Drosophila melanogaster: one gene and its partner. The protein of the gene in region 1 interacts with the protein of each later gene in a pairwise test. Each region holds a gene or a part of one and is shown in the gene's direction. Other genes may lie near its edges.

Region 1 (6,728 bases):
GGCGCAAACTCGGAAATTGCGCAGTGCCGCGGAAACTGAAAATGGGAGAGAGTGTTATGTGCAATCTATATGAAATATATGTATTTATACATTCGCATTTGATGGAAGCTTTAATTACGGTTGCACCCGTAATCTGAAAATCTGGACAGAAACGAACTTTTGAGGTTTCTTGGCAAATCTTTGCCATCGGTCGTAGTCAGTTTGCAAAATAAGGTCTTGGCGCAAAGTGTGCCTAGAGGAGCACAGGAGAGTTTACATACCTTAAAAGGTTATACCACAAGGACTAGATCAATGCAGCGATCACTGTTACTACTGGCCGTGTCAGCCATCCTTTTCTGTGCTGCAGTGGCTCTGCCCTCAAGACTAACCAAATCCGAGGAGGATTGGCTGGAGCAGATGCTGACGCTGAGCGAAGACAGCGGTGAACTGCAGGACCTGGACGAGAGCACCGGAATCCATATTATCAAACGATCTGCCAAGGATGCCAGCAGCTCATCTGAGGAGCATAATGACAAAGCCAAAGACAAGGCCAAGAACAAGGCGGACAGCTCCGGCGATTCCTCCTCCGAGGAAAAGACAACACCAGCTGCGGTAGAAGAAACAACTACGGAGCACACTGCTAGGAAACGCAGAAGCACGGAGGATACGATGGTGCGATCCTTTTGCCAGTCACTGAAAGAATTCGATATTAAGAATTTCAATCTACAATCTGCATATGACCGGGCCGTAAGCTTTTGTAAGCAAAGGGAGTCTAGACGAAGACGCCAGGCTGCCGATCAGAAATCCAGCGATGCGCCGGACCTGGATGCCCAGGCTGAGAAGGAACTGGACGAGCAGATGGCGCAGGCTGTGGCGGAGCTTTTGAAGGACAAGGACAACACCAGCATCGAAGACTACGCCCAGGGATGCGAGGTCATGGAGGTTAGCTCCAAAGAGGCCAACGAGGCCACCTATGCCGAATGATTTTGAATAAACATAAATAACATTATAGCTTATGTTTTCGTAGCCATATTACATTTTTACTATTATTATAATGACTGAGTCATCAAAACAAGAGATTAGGCTATTGCCTATGTATTATTTACTTTTTAACTTATGGGGTGTGTTTATTCAAGTTTACGAGTAACACGTATAAATATCAGCAACAAGAAATATTTTCCTCTTCTAATAATTAATTTTGCCATATTATTTAACTATTACAATTTTCATTACTTGAAATGCATTTGGAAATTAGCTCACCTAACATTGAAACTTAGCTTATTTAATTGTGTAAGTCAAATTATGCATTACGTGTCTGTTTTAAGGGACTAAGTGCGTCTGTTTCAATCTACATGCATTATAAAGAGTCATTTCTGAAACCCACTATCTGCCTGACTCAATTGAATTTGAGTCTATAATCACATAATCGCCGAGGAGGCGATAGCACATTTGTTGAGGCTTCGCCGGTAACGTGTGCAGCTGTCCAGAATCAGTTCGAAAAAATCAGTCTCAGCGAGAAGAACCCACCCATCAAGCTAGTGGAATAGTGGAGTTTACCAGGATATACAAAGATTACCGGGATGCGTCGATCTGTTTTGCTGTTCCTAATCTCCGCCATTGTGCTGAGCGCGGCACTTCCTTTGCCCCCAATTTGGGAGGACTCCGAATCGGATTCCGAGTATAATGATTATAGTGAGCTATCGAAGCAGCAGAATCTGAAGAGCAGTATCGAGAAAACTATCAGCAAGCGAGCTACCAAGGACACTAGTAACAGCACGGAAGATGATGAGCTCACGGATGGTAGCAATGAGAATGTTAACGATAAAATGGACAGCTCAATGGAATCGTCTTCTATGCTGATCATGGCATCCGAGGAAGAATCGGAGTCCGCTGTCAGAAGGCGCAGGTCTGGTGAGAGGAACAGGAATATAGGGCTCCTGGCCACGATTTGCCCAAATGCTGATTTCAGAGATTTGGAGAACGGTATTACCCTAGATTCTAGAATTGAAATAAGGGATATGTATGCGATTTGTAAAACTCTACCAGAGTCCGGTCGTCTACAGCAATACAACCGTTCATAAATTAAATAAAAGCAAAGAAGAATTCTAAAAATTTAAAAATTCTTCTGAAATTTGTTTCCCTCAGTCATGAAACCCCTGTCTCATTAGTCATCTACCTCATTATCAGTAAAAACCATCCTTATCACGACAGCAGTCGTCAAAGTTGTCTGACCTCAGAGCAAAAATGTCAGTTTCATGTTTGTTTACGCTTTTGAATTTATGATTTACTCATGAGAACTAAAAAAAGGTCTGCATTCTTGAAGTGATTTTAGAACGCTTTGGTAACCAATATCTTGTTAATAAGGATTTAGAAATATAAAATTTTTTTTTGTAATATTACCAACAAAATCTTTTGGAGAATTTCGATCGATACTTATAACCAACTTTGAAACTTCTCTTTGAAACTGAAGCTAGGGTATCTGTTAGTCGAGGAAATTGACCACAGCATGTTCTTTAGTTTCCGTACGAAAAACTATGCATATATGCTAAACGAATTGTTTTTTTTTGTTTTCTGAAGTCTTTTTTGTGATTCGTGTCATCTGCATTTTGCGCCCTTTCCGACGTTTGGGATATTGAAAAATTTTCTCGAAAAAATCGCCTACGGTTTTCTCCCTTTGTTTGTCACCATTTGTTGTTGTTGCAGCTTTGCGGCTGATAAGGCACGTTTTGTTCACTCTTTTATGGCCACGTCAAAGAAATGTGTACGAACTATTCCTTAAACATGCATATCACACACATGAGCATATCCACATTTGTAGTATTTCCTGTGCTAATCGAAATTTCGTTGTCAGGTGTGTGCCACTTTTTTGGGGCCTTTCTCCGAAAATTTCCCACACATGGAACTCTGATTTCCATTGTTGTTTATTTGACAAGTCGAATTCTTTGCCTGTGAGCTTGGCACGTTCAAGTTATTTATTCTGCTTTAAACTTGGCAGTTGACGTGCATCACAAAGATGTTGGGTATGGACATGAACTGCGCAAAGGCTTTAAAATATGATTTTATGGTAGAGGTAAATTAAATTAACCATTTCTTAGTTGATAATAATTGGGATGTTACTCGTGAATTAATTACTTTATTCGTTTAAAAGTATATAACACGTAAGGGAAAGCGTTTCCGAAACTACATAGTATACATATTCTTGATCAGGATCACTAGCATATCCGGACATGTCCGTATGTCCATCTGTCTGTCCGCATGAACGCTATGATCTCGGGAACTATAAAAGCTTGAATTTTCAAATTGGTATTTGAGTAGTGATTTTATAAATAAATTTATAAGGTATCATCTGTTACTTTCATCTCCAGTTCCTTTTCTTGATTGAATATAAAACTAGCTTGCATGCGTAGCTTTAATTAATACTCGTTGTTGAGCAATGAATAATAACTTAATAACAGTGGAAAGAGAAAAAACAGCTGATGCTTTGACTATGAATACCAAATGCACTTGTGAATTTAAACTTGTATATTTGAGAAGATCTTTAATCAAAAGCAAAAAACGCTTCGACTTGGCAAAAAAAAAAAGCAACAAAGAATGCAACAGTTTTGCATCGTCACATTATCTAAAAAAAAAAAGGAAAAACAGACCACGAGGAGCAGAGGAAAAGCGCGAGAGAGAATGGGGAAAATAGAAAAAATGCAGCCACAAAGGAAAACTTCTCGAAAATTATTTTAGTTGCCCAAGTCGAGTGCAGTCGTGTGGAAGTGAAAGAGAAGCCACAAAATACAATAAAAAAAAAAGAAAAACAAAAGAACCAGGCAGCAGGCATAAAAAAAGCGTTAAATACACTTTCCATAATTATCCCTCATAGTCGTGCTTATTCTTGGTTATTCAACAATTTCGGAGTTTCCGTACTTTTCGCCACTTTGCGGGCCAAGATCCAATGAGATTGGGGTTGTGCAATGCGTGACTGCTGATTATATAAGTCGCACAATTACCCAAAGTTCAGGCATTCAACTAGTTCCTTCACTTTCAATAGAAAGTTCGAAAGTAAGCGAGTTTCAGGTTGTGTTGAAAAGCCGGCAAAAGTCGAGTAATATTTTTGCACAGGCGGAATTTTGACAGGCAAACGCAAACAAGCAATCGGAAAAAAGAGCAACTAAAACTTTCGCAGCGCTAAAAAAAAGAGCAATATAAAAGTGGAAAGGTAGAATAGAAAAGCAAGAGTGCCGCCGGCAAGAGTGCGAATTTATAAATAAAACCAGCGGATAGCAGGAAGAGATCCGGTATCTCTTCGCCAGAGAACGGGTAAACAAAGCGATGCCGGAACAACTGGGTCTGCTATGGTCCGTGCCGGAGTCCAAGTCAAAGGCGCCCATCATCAAGGTGTCCTGCGGCATCGGCGATACGGACGGCTATCCCGCCTTCGATGTCGACTCCGATGCGTATGCCACCAAGGACGACAGCCGGTGGGGATTCCTCATAACCGGCGGAGCCGAGTTCCATATGCCGCTGACAGTCTTCCAGGTGAGTTGCGTGGTTAAGCTTGAGGTCGGCATGGGGGTGGTTCACCCTTGGGAACGGGACCATCTGGTGCCTGGCCAAGAATTATATTGATACAGTCAATCTCGGGCCATTGGAAATTTTAGCTAAGGCACTTAAGCTGAACTGGATAACCGGAAACCACCAGGAAAGGGAAAAATACAATAGAAATTTGCAATATAAACCAATTCCTCATTTCACTTCAAACTTATTAAAGTTACACCGCATGAAGATAATTTATAACATGGTTGATAACTAGTGGTATTAAATAGTATGCGTTTGCTTAGTGGTGTTTATTTCAAGTTAAAAAATGATTTAGATACATCGTAGGCTTAATTGATTTTTAAGATTTTAAGAAGAGTTTTGAGAAGAGAAAACCTGCTGACTAAAATCTTTTTTCTATTTTTCAATTATTTGAACAATATACGTAATGTATAGAATTTTTATTGATAATCAACTGGCTTGAGTTACTCTTGCAGTAGTATCTACTGTAGCTTCTTTCCGCTGCAACTGCTGTTTCGTCATTGTTTCCAATTTTTGGTTGCGAGCCAGAATGACAACAACCCAACCCACCAGCCCACGTCAAATTTGAATTCCAATTATGCTATGACGAAGTCGCATCGAATGCAAATTGGCTGCCGCCAAATAGAAGCGGGCATTTTATTGTTTCTTCCATCTGCACCTGCCGCGCCCCGTCTTCGGTCTTCGTGTTCGGTCTTCAGTGCTCAGTCTTCGGTCTTCAAGTCTTTTCTAGCCTTTTAGTTGGCGTGTCTTGTCTCCGCCTGTTTTGCTCTTTTTGGCCCACTTCAGTCTCGAGTGAATGTACAATATTTGGGTTAGCCGAACACCCCTTCCCATCAAACATAAAATAAATACGCTGGTTGTCATAAAAGATATTTGTCGAAGCAGATATACAATCGAATATCGGATCAATAAAAGTATTTTTACACGCATTACAACTGGAGAAATCCCATGATTATGGGTATTGGAAATCAAAGTCATAACCATTTTGTATTTGTATTATAAACAACACTTATAAAAATGTTACGCACTGTACCGTATATCTATGCAAAATGATTTCCCATAAGGCAAAACTATTAGTATTGCTTTTGGCTTTTGTGCAACATTTTACTTTTGACGTTTTGCGTTTAGTCTTAAAGAAAAATATCAATTGTTGTTTTGTTTGTTTTATTTTTGAATTCAAGTCATTTTGAGGGTAACATTTGAAGAGTTTGATGAACTTAATGCCTAGTTTGGCGTAGCTAAACTTGCTCTTTAAACATTAAATTCTCACATATGTAATATACTTCTGAACCGTATTTATTTCATCTATTTTTATATTTTTCAAGGGATGTCTATTATAGGGTACACGCCAAGTTGATTATGCTTTCTTTAAAAACACCGCATTGTGTCTGTTTTCTTTTAGATGTTATTGTTTTTTCATTATTTTTGGGCCATTTTCTTTTGGGAGCAGCCGTTCAGTCAGCTCATCTCGTATACATGTCATCTGTATCTGTCGTTCGCGCATCGCTTATATTTTCTGAACCTAAACTCAAAGTACGCAGATATCCATTCAATTGCGCCTCGAAACTCGCACGGTACGGTTTTTGCTGCTCTTTCATCTGCTGAAAGTGAAAGGAGCTGCCACGATTTCGCTTTCACTTACGTTTTCGGTATCGGCATCGACATCGCAACGCTCTCGATTTCAATCGACATCCTTGTGGTCCTTGCAGGTTACCCCCAACGGCCTGGCCGACAAAGCGGGCATTCGCCTGGGCGACATCATACTCGAGATCAACGAGGAGGACGCCTCGCAGCTGACGCTGTCCCAGGCCCACGAGAAAATCAACTCGACACCCAAGAAGATACATTTCCTGCTGCGCAAGTAGGTTGCCCCAGATGCACTTGGCCTGCGGTGCGTCTGGGAGGCTTTCAGGCCGTTTAACTTACGTAATGAGCAAACTACTGTCTGCTGTCCATCTCTATAACCCCGCAGCATGGAGGAGGACGATCCCATGGGCCAGTTTGAGGCTGGGGAGGAGAAGTCGATTGTGATGCGGGTTCCAAAGCCTTTGCCGCCGCCCAGTGGTGAGTACTTACTTTTTGCATGGCTTCCCAAATCAGTTCATTCGCCTACAGCTCCATCCCATTCCTTTATTACTGACATTAAAGTGTAGTGAAAATGTTTTACTTTCATTAATAACCCAAGT
Region 2 (6,562 bases), on another chromosome or scaffold:
TCCGCCCGATAACACTCGAAGAATGCCAAGGGATTCGGGGGTGGAAGGTCCAAGGTTAAGGATGGGTGCTGTCCTGCCCTTCCCTTCTCTTCCAGGTTGTTGGGACAACGCGAGCGCCCCTGTTGCCATCTATATCTTTATCTATGTGCGGCACGTGGAAAAGTTTCGTTCGCTTAACTCTGACATTCTAAATGAATTTAATGACTTGGAAATGGCCACCTACCGATTTTGAATTTTAACATCGCCGGTTGTTTTCTGAGCCAGTTGTATCTATAAAGTTATTAAATTTCTGTATTTACCAGACAGAAGCTTTTATGGGAATTTAGAAAATTGCTTTTTCAAATCAAAGGTACAAATGAAATCAAAATCTGATCTGGCGATACCAACTTAATCGGCTAAAATCAATCGATTCCCCTGGGAGGGTAATTTGTATACTGGTATCTGAAAGGGTGTTCATATCTCTCAGATATAGATATCCCATCCTAGGCAAGTGCAACAGCCAGAAGACGGAGATCCCGGGGAGAACGATTGCCGTCTGAGGGAACTCCCAAAGTACCTTTTCACACATGAGCGCGCCAGGACGCAGGACGAAAAAAAAAGGAATGGCAGACGTTGACGAGGGGTTGGGACATACAATCCTCGATTTCTGTTGTTGTAAATCACAAAGTGAAACCGAAACCGTTAACGTGTTGCGGTTACGCTGCTGACTTTGCTGTGCGGCAACAACAACAAAAAAAAATGAGGCAGAAGTGATGGGGGAGTTGAGGCAAGTCATTCCATTTGGGAGGCTTTATTAAATGCGCACTGAGCTGAGGGGCAATGTCCTGTCTCGGCTTTTTATTGCGATTTTTTCGCAATGTTTTCGCTCTTTGTGTGAGTTTATCAAGCTCCTTACATTTGTTTTCCTGTAAAACGGGGGCAACTTCCCCGAGCAAACTTCTCTTATTTAATGATTCCTTTTAGAAAAGCCCGAATCGATGGGGGAAAACCGAAGGCTGGTTTCGCATTTCAACTTGAGAAATGTGAAATTGTTCCAGTTCCTTATTTTTTCCTTTTTTTTTTGTTGGCCTCCCAAAGATTTGTCAAATCTTTGACACAATGATGCATAGCGTTATCTGAGATTTGCCAAGTGAAAAAATAACAACAAGCGACTTTGCGAATTAATCTTCTTAATGCCTGGGTCCCATAACCATGGGCACTGAGTGGAGTGCTTAGGACACGGAATCACTTAATGCGATTGCCCAAAAAAGGACTCCTCCTTTGGGGCACTTCCAAAAATACTTGCTAATTGCTGCACTCGTTGAGAATGCAACTAGGCAATGCGTTTCCACTGGCGACCATGGCAGTGCACTTCCGAAGGCCATAATCATATCAGCTTCCGCACGATTTAACAGCAACGCAATTTTGATGGCAACCAGACCAGACCGAGTGCGTCAGCATGGCAACCGATTGTCTGTCTATTCATCGCTGGGTTTTCACACTGGAAAAACGTCGAAAATTATAGCAAGCTAAATAAATTAAAGGGAAATTAACTAAAACACAAATAGCTAGTATTTTTATATCACTAAAAAGGATGTCTTAGAGCATGCAAGCTAAAATAAGATGATAGGGTTGCATTTCAACTGTTGTTTTAATGTTTTTAAAAATATGATCTATTTTCAATGATAGTTGGTATATGCCAAGCACTTCTCTTTCGTTCTCTGTCCTGGATTCCTTTCGATTTGCTCAACACTTTTTTTGGCTTCGCATTGATTGCTCCACAATTGCGCAATTTCGCTCACTAAAAGCATTTCAAAGGACCTGTGGAATGGGGCTTCCTCTGCCTGCTGCCATGACGCATAAGCTCCGATAAAAACTGTTGTTCGATAAGCATTTTGTTTGCCATGTGCCTGAAGTTGTTAGGGCGTCTGTGCCCCAGCCCAAGTCACGAACTTCTGTGGTAACGCAGTGGGCTGCTGTGAAGGATTGAAGGCGGAGAAACGCTCGAGGAAGCCATAACGAATCAGTTTTTGATGTGGAACTTTGAAAAGTTCTATGGAAATTGTAAGAAAATTCAGAATGCATGGAAGGAGGCGATTCAATCGCAAGCAACTATATATTGCTTAATGCTAGGGAAACTGAATTAAAACTGAATTTAAGTCCTTTAAACAGAACCATGTAGGTGTCCTGCCACAGAGGAGCTATAGTTCAGACATATATTGCACATTCTCCGCACATTTGCCGCTTGGCAAAAGGTCCTGCAGCTTAGTCACCACACTGCCACACACATGGACACACACACCCACATGTACACATGATATTCATTATGAACGGCTTAAGCGATTTCCCCAGGGCCCAGGAGCTTAGTCCTTCACGCAGCAGACACACTCATGCATATGCACAGATATATTTGGGTTTTTATTTATTTCTTTTTATGAAAGCCCCGCTGAATGGAATCCGATTTGACGAGCAGTCGAAAAAAGGAACTCGTCAGCAAATTGGCAGCTCGAAAAAAGATGCGGTAAGCAGAAAAACCAATTCTCTACCTGATTGTTGGCCACATCAATCAGGATGTCATGTTCTACATGCTGGGGAAAAACATGAACATAATAATTAACGCTCATAATTCGACTCTCCCCAAAAGTGGACAACAATTCGCTTCTTTTGCTAATGAAAATAATCTGTCATCAAAGCCAAAAAGCCACCCCCTATGGTAACAGGTGCTCGTGCTTCCCGCTCTCCTGTTTTGCCTCATCCTGTTGCTTTTTCCAGGACACGCCTCCTGGTACACTATATGATTATATTTGGTTCCCAGCTATTAACTCTGCATAGCTTGTGGGCAGGAAGGGTTGAAAGGTTGGCGGACGGAAATTGCATTTGTGCTGGCCCAAATCAGATAAGATTCACCGGCGACGCCCTCGTCCTTGGCCAGGATATGACATTAAAAGCGCATCAAAGTCGAATGGCGAGCAGAGGCTACGCATCAGCAGCGGAAACTGTTGCCGTAATTACATTCGAGTCGGATAGAAAAAATTCCAAAGACGTATGTTCGGCAATGCGAACGCCTGATACCCTTTTCAGTGAGGAATTTTTGAGGAATCTTATCATTAGTAATCTTGATCTTAATTAATCTTCATCAAGGTATCTAAGTCACGAAATGAAAATGTTAACTTAAAACTCTAAGGTTTGTAGATAGGTTTTCGTATAGTTAAACCTCCTTTCGATGTCCTTTCCTTTGACAATAAGAAGCACATTGCTGGTCATTTGCGCGGTCCTTTAACCCTGGTCGCTTGTGAGCTTAGCTTCCCCCGGAGGCTGAACTTTGATTTGGTCTTTGTTTGCGCCGTTAAATTAAATGTCCTTGCCCAGCCGTTCGGGATCTGTGCTCATCCTGGATGCCCAGGGACAATGCAAGCAATTCCAGTCATTTCCTTAATAGAAATCTTATCTTTTGTGACGCCTTCGCCGTGTGCCTAAGCCGGATATCGCACCTTTGACATCTGCCCATGGCTCCTGACAAAGCAGGTCCATGCTAAGCACTCAAATATCTCTTACTTCCGGTCCGGCTTTTTGGGAGAATATCATTTGGAAAAATTGGGTGTTTATTTATACCAACACTAGCAGACGAAACCATGAAATCCTGTTGTGCCACTCAGACGACGCGTTGTGAGTGTCCAACGGGTCTCAGATTGGGGAAGAAGCCGCAGGCTCCACTCTTCGACATGCTGGGCCCGCATCCAGATGAGGTCATCATGACGATCCTGGACCGCATCCTCTATCTTTCGGGCGCCACGAAAATAATTCCATTGCTGGAGTTGTCGAATGAAGGTCAGTAATCGAAGGAAGTAATATAAATGCGTCCATAGATAAAATATACCCGTAGGATCAGCTTTTAAGAAGGAATCCTGCCCACCACCAGCACCCTGTGCACCAAGCCCTTGCAGTTCCGGAAGCAGCTCGGCTTATCCATCTTCATCGGCCTGGAGTACATGCTGCTCCAAGCCGTCGACTATCTGTTGTTATCCCAAGCCAACGAGATGCTGCGCCAGTCCAAAAGCTCCACTAGTGCCCTGCAGTCCAATGGATACTCCGAAATCTTCCTGCTTCAAGACCGCGAGTCGGCTTAGTTCCGCTGCCTGTTGTCCCCGCCAGCGTACTCCCAGGGTGGACTTCGATCACCCGGCGGAGGATATTCCGTTGAGAAATAAGGCGGGCAGCGCCACGATAAGGGAACAGATAAGCCGATCAATTTCCACCTGCTCGGTGGCCTGTCAACAGCTGAAAGACAAGCTTACATCCCAGATTGCCCAAGGACACAAGGACCAAAAGTGGTTGTGGACCCGTTTGATTCGTGGCAACGATGGGTGCATGGTGTACGAGGTGTACAAGGATTCCGATGTAGACAACTCTCCCTCTAAGATCGGGTCGGAGGCACCCATCATCCTTTTTCTAGTCATGCCGAATGGTTGCATCATGCCCTTTGAGTCTATTTGTGGTCCTTAGGAAGATGGTACTCGTTTTGTATACTTTTTAGCCTGTGGTCAGTTAAAAATAAACTTTCACCCGTACTTTGTATTTTGCTATTTAATTTATACAACAAATACTAAGCTACACGTATGCCTTTTTTTAGCATAAGGAAGACCACTCCAGCACAAACAAACATATAGATGGACAGTATAACAACAGACTCCAGATCACTTCGATGACCCGGGTTCAGGGACATGTTGACCATTCCCGTAAGGAAATTGGAGATCATGAAGTGAGTCAGACCGTTCATGTTCAGACTTTCAACAAAGGTGGGCAAGGATATGTTCTTTTGCCCGTCATCTCTAATTGACTTTTTAGAACAAATATCTGGCCGTACGAGTTTCAGCTCAAAGAAGAACGCGTAGATCACAATTAGGCTTAGGGAGACAGCGAAAATCCAGATTACATAGCCAAAACTAAAAGTTACACGTGCTATGCCCGTTAGAAAAGAACTTATAAAAACCAATTTCCAACAGAGAATGGCCACGAAAAGAATACTCTTTAACTTTCTTATTAGTCCTTGATAAGTCAGGCTATCACGGGAAGTATACCACTTGGCAAAGTAAATGCTGAGCAAATAGAGAGCCACACATCCGTGTAGGGAACTTAAGCCTTCCCGATTGGCACTGAAAAACCCCTCATGGGGTGCAGAAGACATGACGAATTCGGAGAGTCCCAGTTGGAGCACCACTTCGTGAAGGAATAGCAAACCTAAAATCGTAGGAAATTAAAATTTATTGCATTATTATTTTTTCTGGACCTACCTATTGCAAGTGCCAGGAGCTGTTCATCAGAGTTTACCAACAGACTATAGCAGCTGCCCAGCAATTTCGTGAATCCCAGTATGAAGAAGGCATTCAAATGGCGGCCGTATTCCGTCTCATCCTGGTGATAGTCGATCAAAGTGATGACAATGGTGCGAGCAAGCCCTAGGACCAGCAACGGAATAACAGATCTCCTTAGTTTCTTAAGATCAGTGATGCTCCGTGCTCGATGTGAAACCAATCCCATGGTCACCACAAAAAGCCCAATTCCCATATCCATGACAGCTGCTCCGAAAGTCCGGCTTTTCCGGTAATCCGTAGGATACGAAGGGAAATCCACAGCCAGAATGGCGGCACAGGTTCCACTGTAGGCAGTTGCTCTCAGCAGAGTGAAGACTATGGGTCTCTTACCGACCTTATACACGAAGTTTGGAGGATTGGGAGCGACATTTCCATAAATATAGACCAGAACAGCTAAGGAAACCACCAGGGAGTATGTGTAGCTATAGGCACTCCCCACTGTAATCAATATCACGGTGGGTAATCCGATCAGAAACAACTCCAGGAGAAATCTCCTCGTGGATAGCATCGGCAGGTGTCCGCAGAGCAGGCGGGAAAGAACAAATCCCAATATCGTGGGCAGAATGGTTAGAAAGCTATCTAAACTTTCCTTGATAGATCTCCAGGATTTCAAATCCACATCATTAAGTTCGTGCTCTACGAAGCTGGCCACCTCGGCCTCCATTATGTTAAATTTTTATTAGACCTCGGGTTTAAGCTAACGCATAAAACTATAAATTATTACGAACTTTTAAAGCCGGTTGAAAAATGTAAACAAAAACAAATAGTAATGTAAGTTAGCCGATAAAATAGCCGATTATGCAGCAGTCAGCTCTTATCTGTTAGCGGAACAGAAGCGAAATCATTTGGTCACACTTAAATAAATTCAAATTGAAAATGCAATCCTTTTGTATAATACCGATTTATTTTGGGTCTGGCATAAAGCAAAATAAATGCATTTAATCACAATTGAGGCAATCTACAGCTCGTTGCGCTGCGTTTTGGAGGGATTTTCTGATGCCCGTCGGGGGAATTCCTTGTGGGAAAGAATTTCCTCGGCTGCTCCATCGACAAGATGCACAAATTCCTTCACATCAAAGCTATAATTGGTAAACTTGGCGTGTGCGCCGCCCTCGGGATGATGACCCTCGTCCTGTGGGTACACCAAGTCCCGCTGCTCCCAAGTGCGGTAGCGAACGCCACGTAGGCGAGCCAAGTCCTTGTAGCAATTC

Evidence for each region.
Region 2: the proteins of CG42319 (region 1) and CG3557 interact in a two-hybrid assay, tested with the Drosophila melanogaster proteins (one large-scale study listed by BioGRID).

What each region holds. Positions count from the first base shown.
Region 1 is NT_033778.4:13,256,392-13,263,119, forward strand, and holds the start of CG42319 (uncharacterized protein), read left to right. Parts: upstream 1-3,709; 5' UTR 3,710-4,026; intron 4,027-4,086; 5' UTR 4,087-4,296; coding exon 4,297-4,503; intron 4,504-6,093; exon of another isoform or gene 6,094-6,251; coding exon 6,252-6,403; intron 6,404-6,514; coding exon 6,515-6,606; intron 6,607-6,728. Other genes in the region: CG4716 (uncharacterized protein), read left to right, coding at 292-963; CG10799 (uncharacterized protein), read left to right, coding at 1,560-2,060.
Region 2 is NT_033779.5:2,382,752-2,389,313, reverse strand, and holds CG3557 (uncharacterized protein), read left to right. Parts: upstream 1-3,521; 5' UTR 3,522-3,611; coding exon 3,612-3,807; intron 3,808-3,862; coding exon 3,863-4,482; 3' UTR 4,483-4,553; downstream 4,554-6,562. Other genes in the region: PIG-Wa (phosphatidylinositol glycan anchor biosynthesis class W a), read right to left, coding at 4,583-5,217, 5,271-6,015; Eogt (EGF-domain O-GlcNAc transferase), read right to left, coding at 6,310-6,562.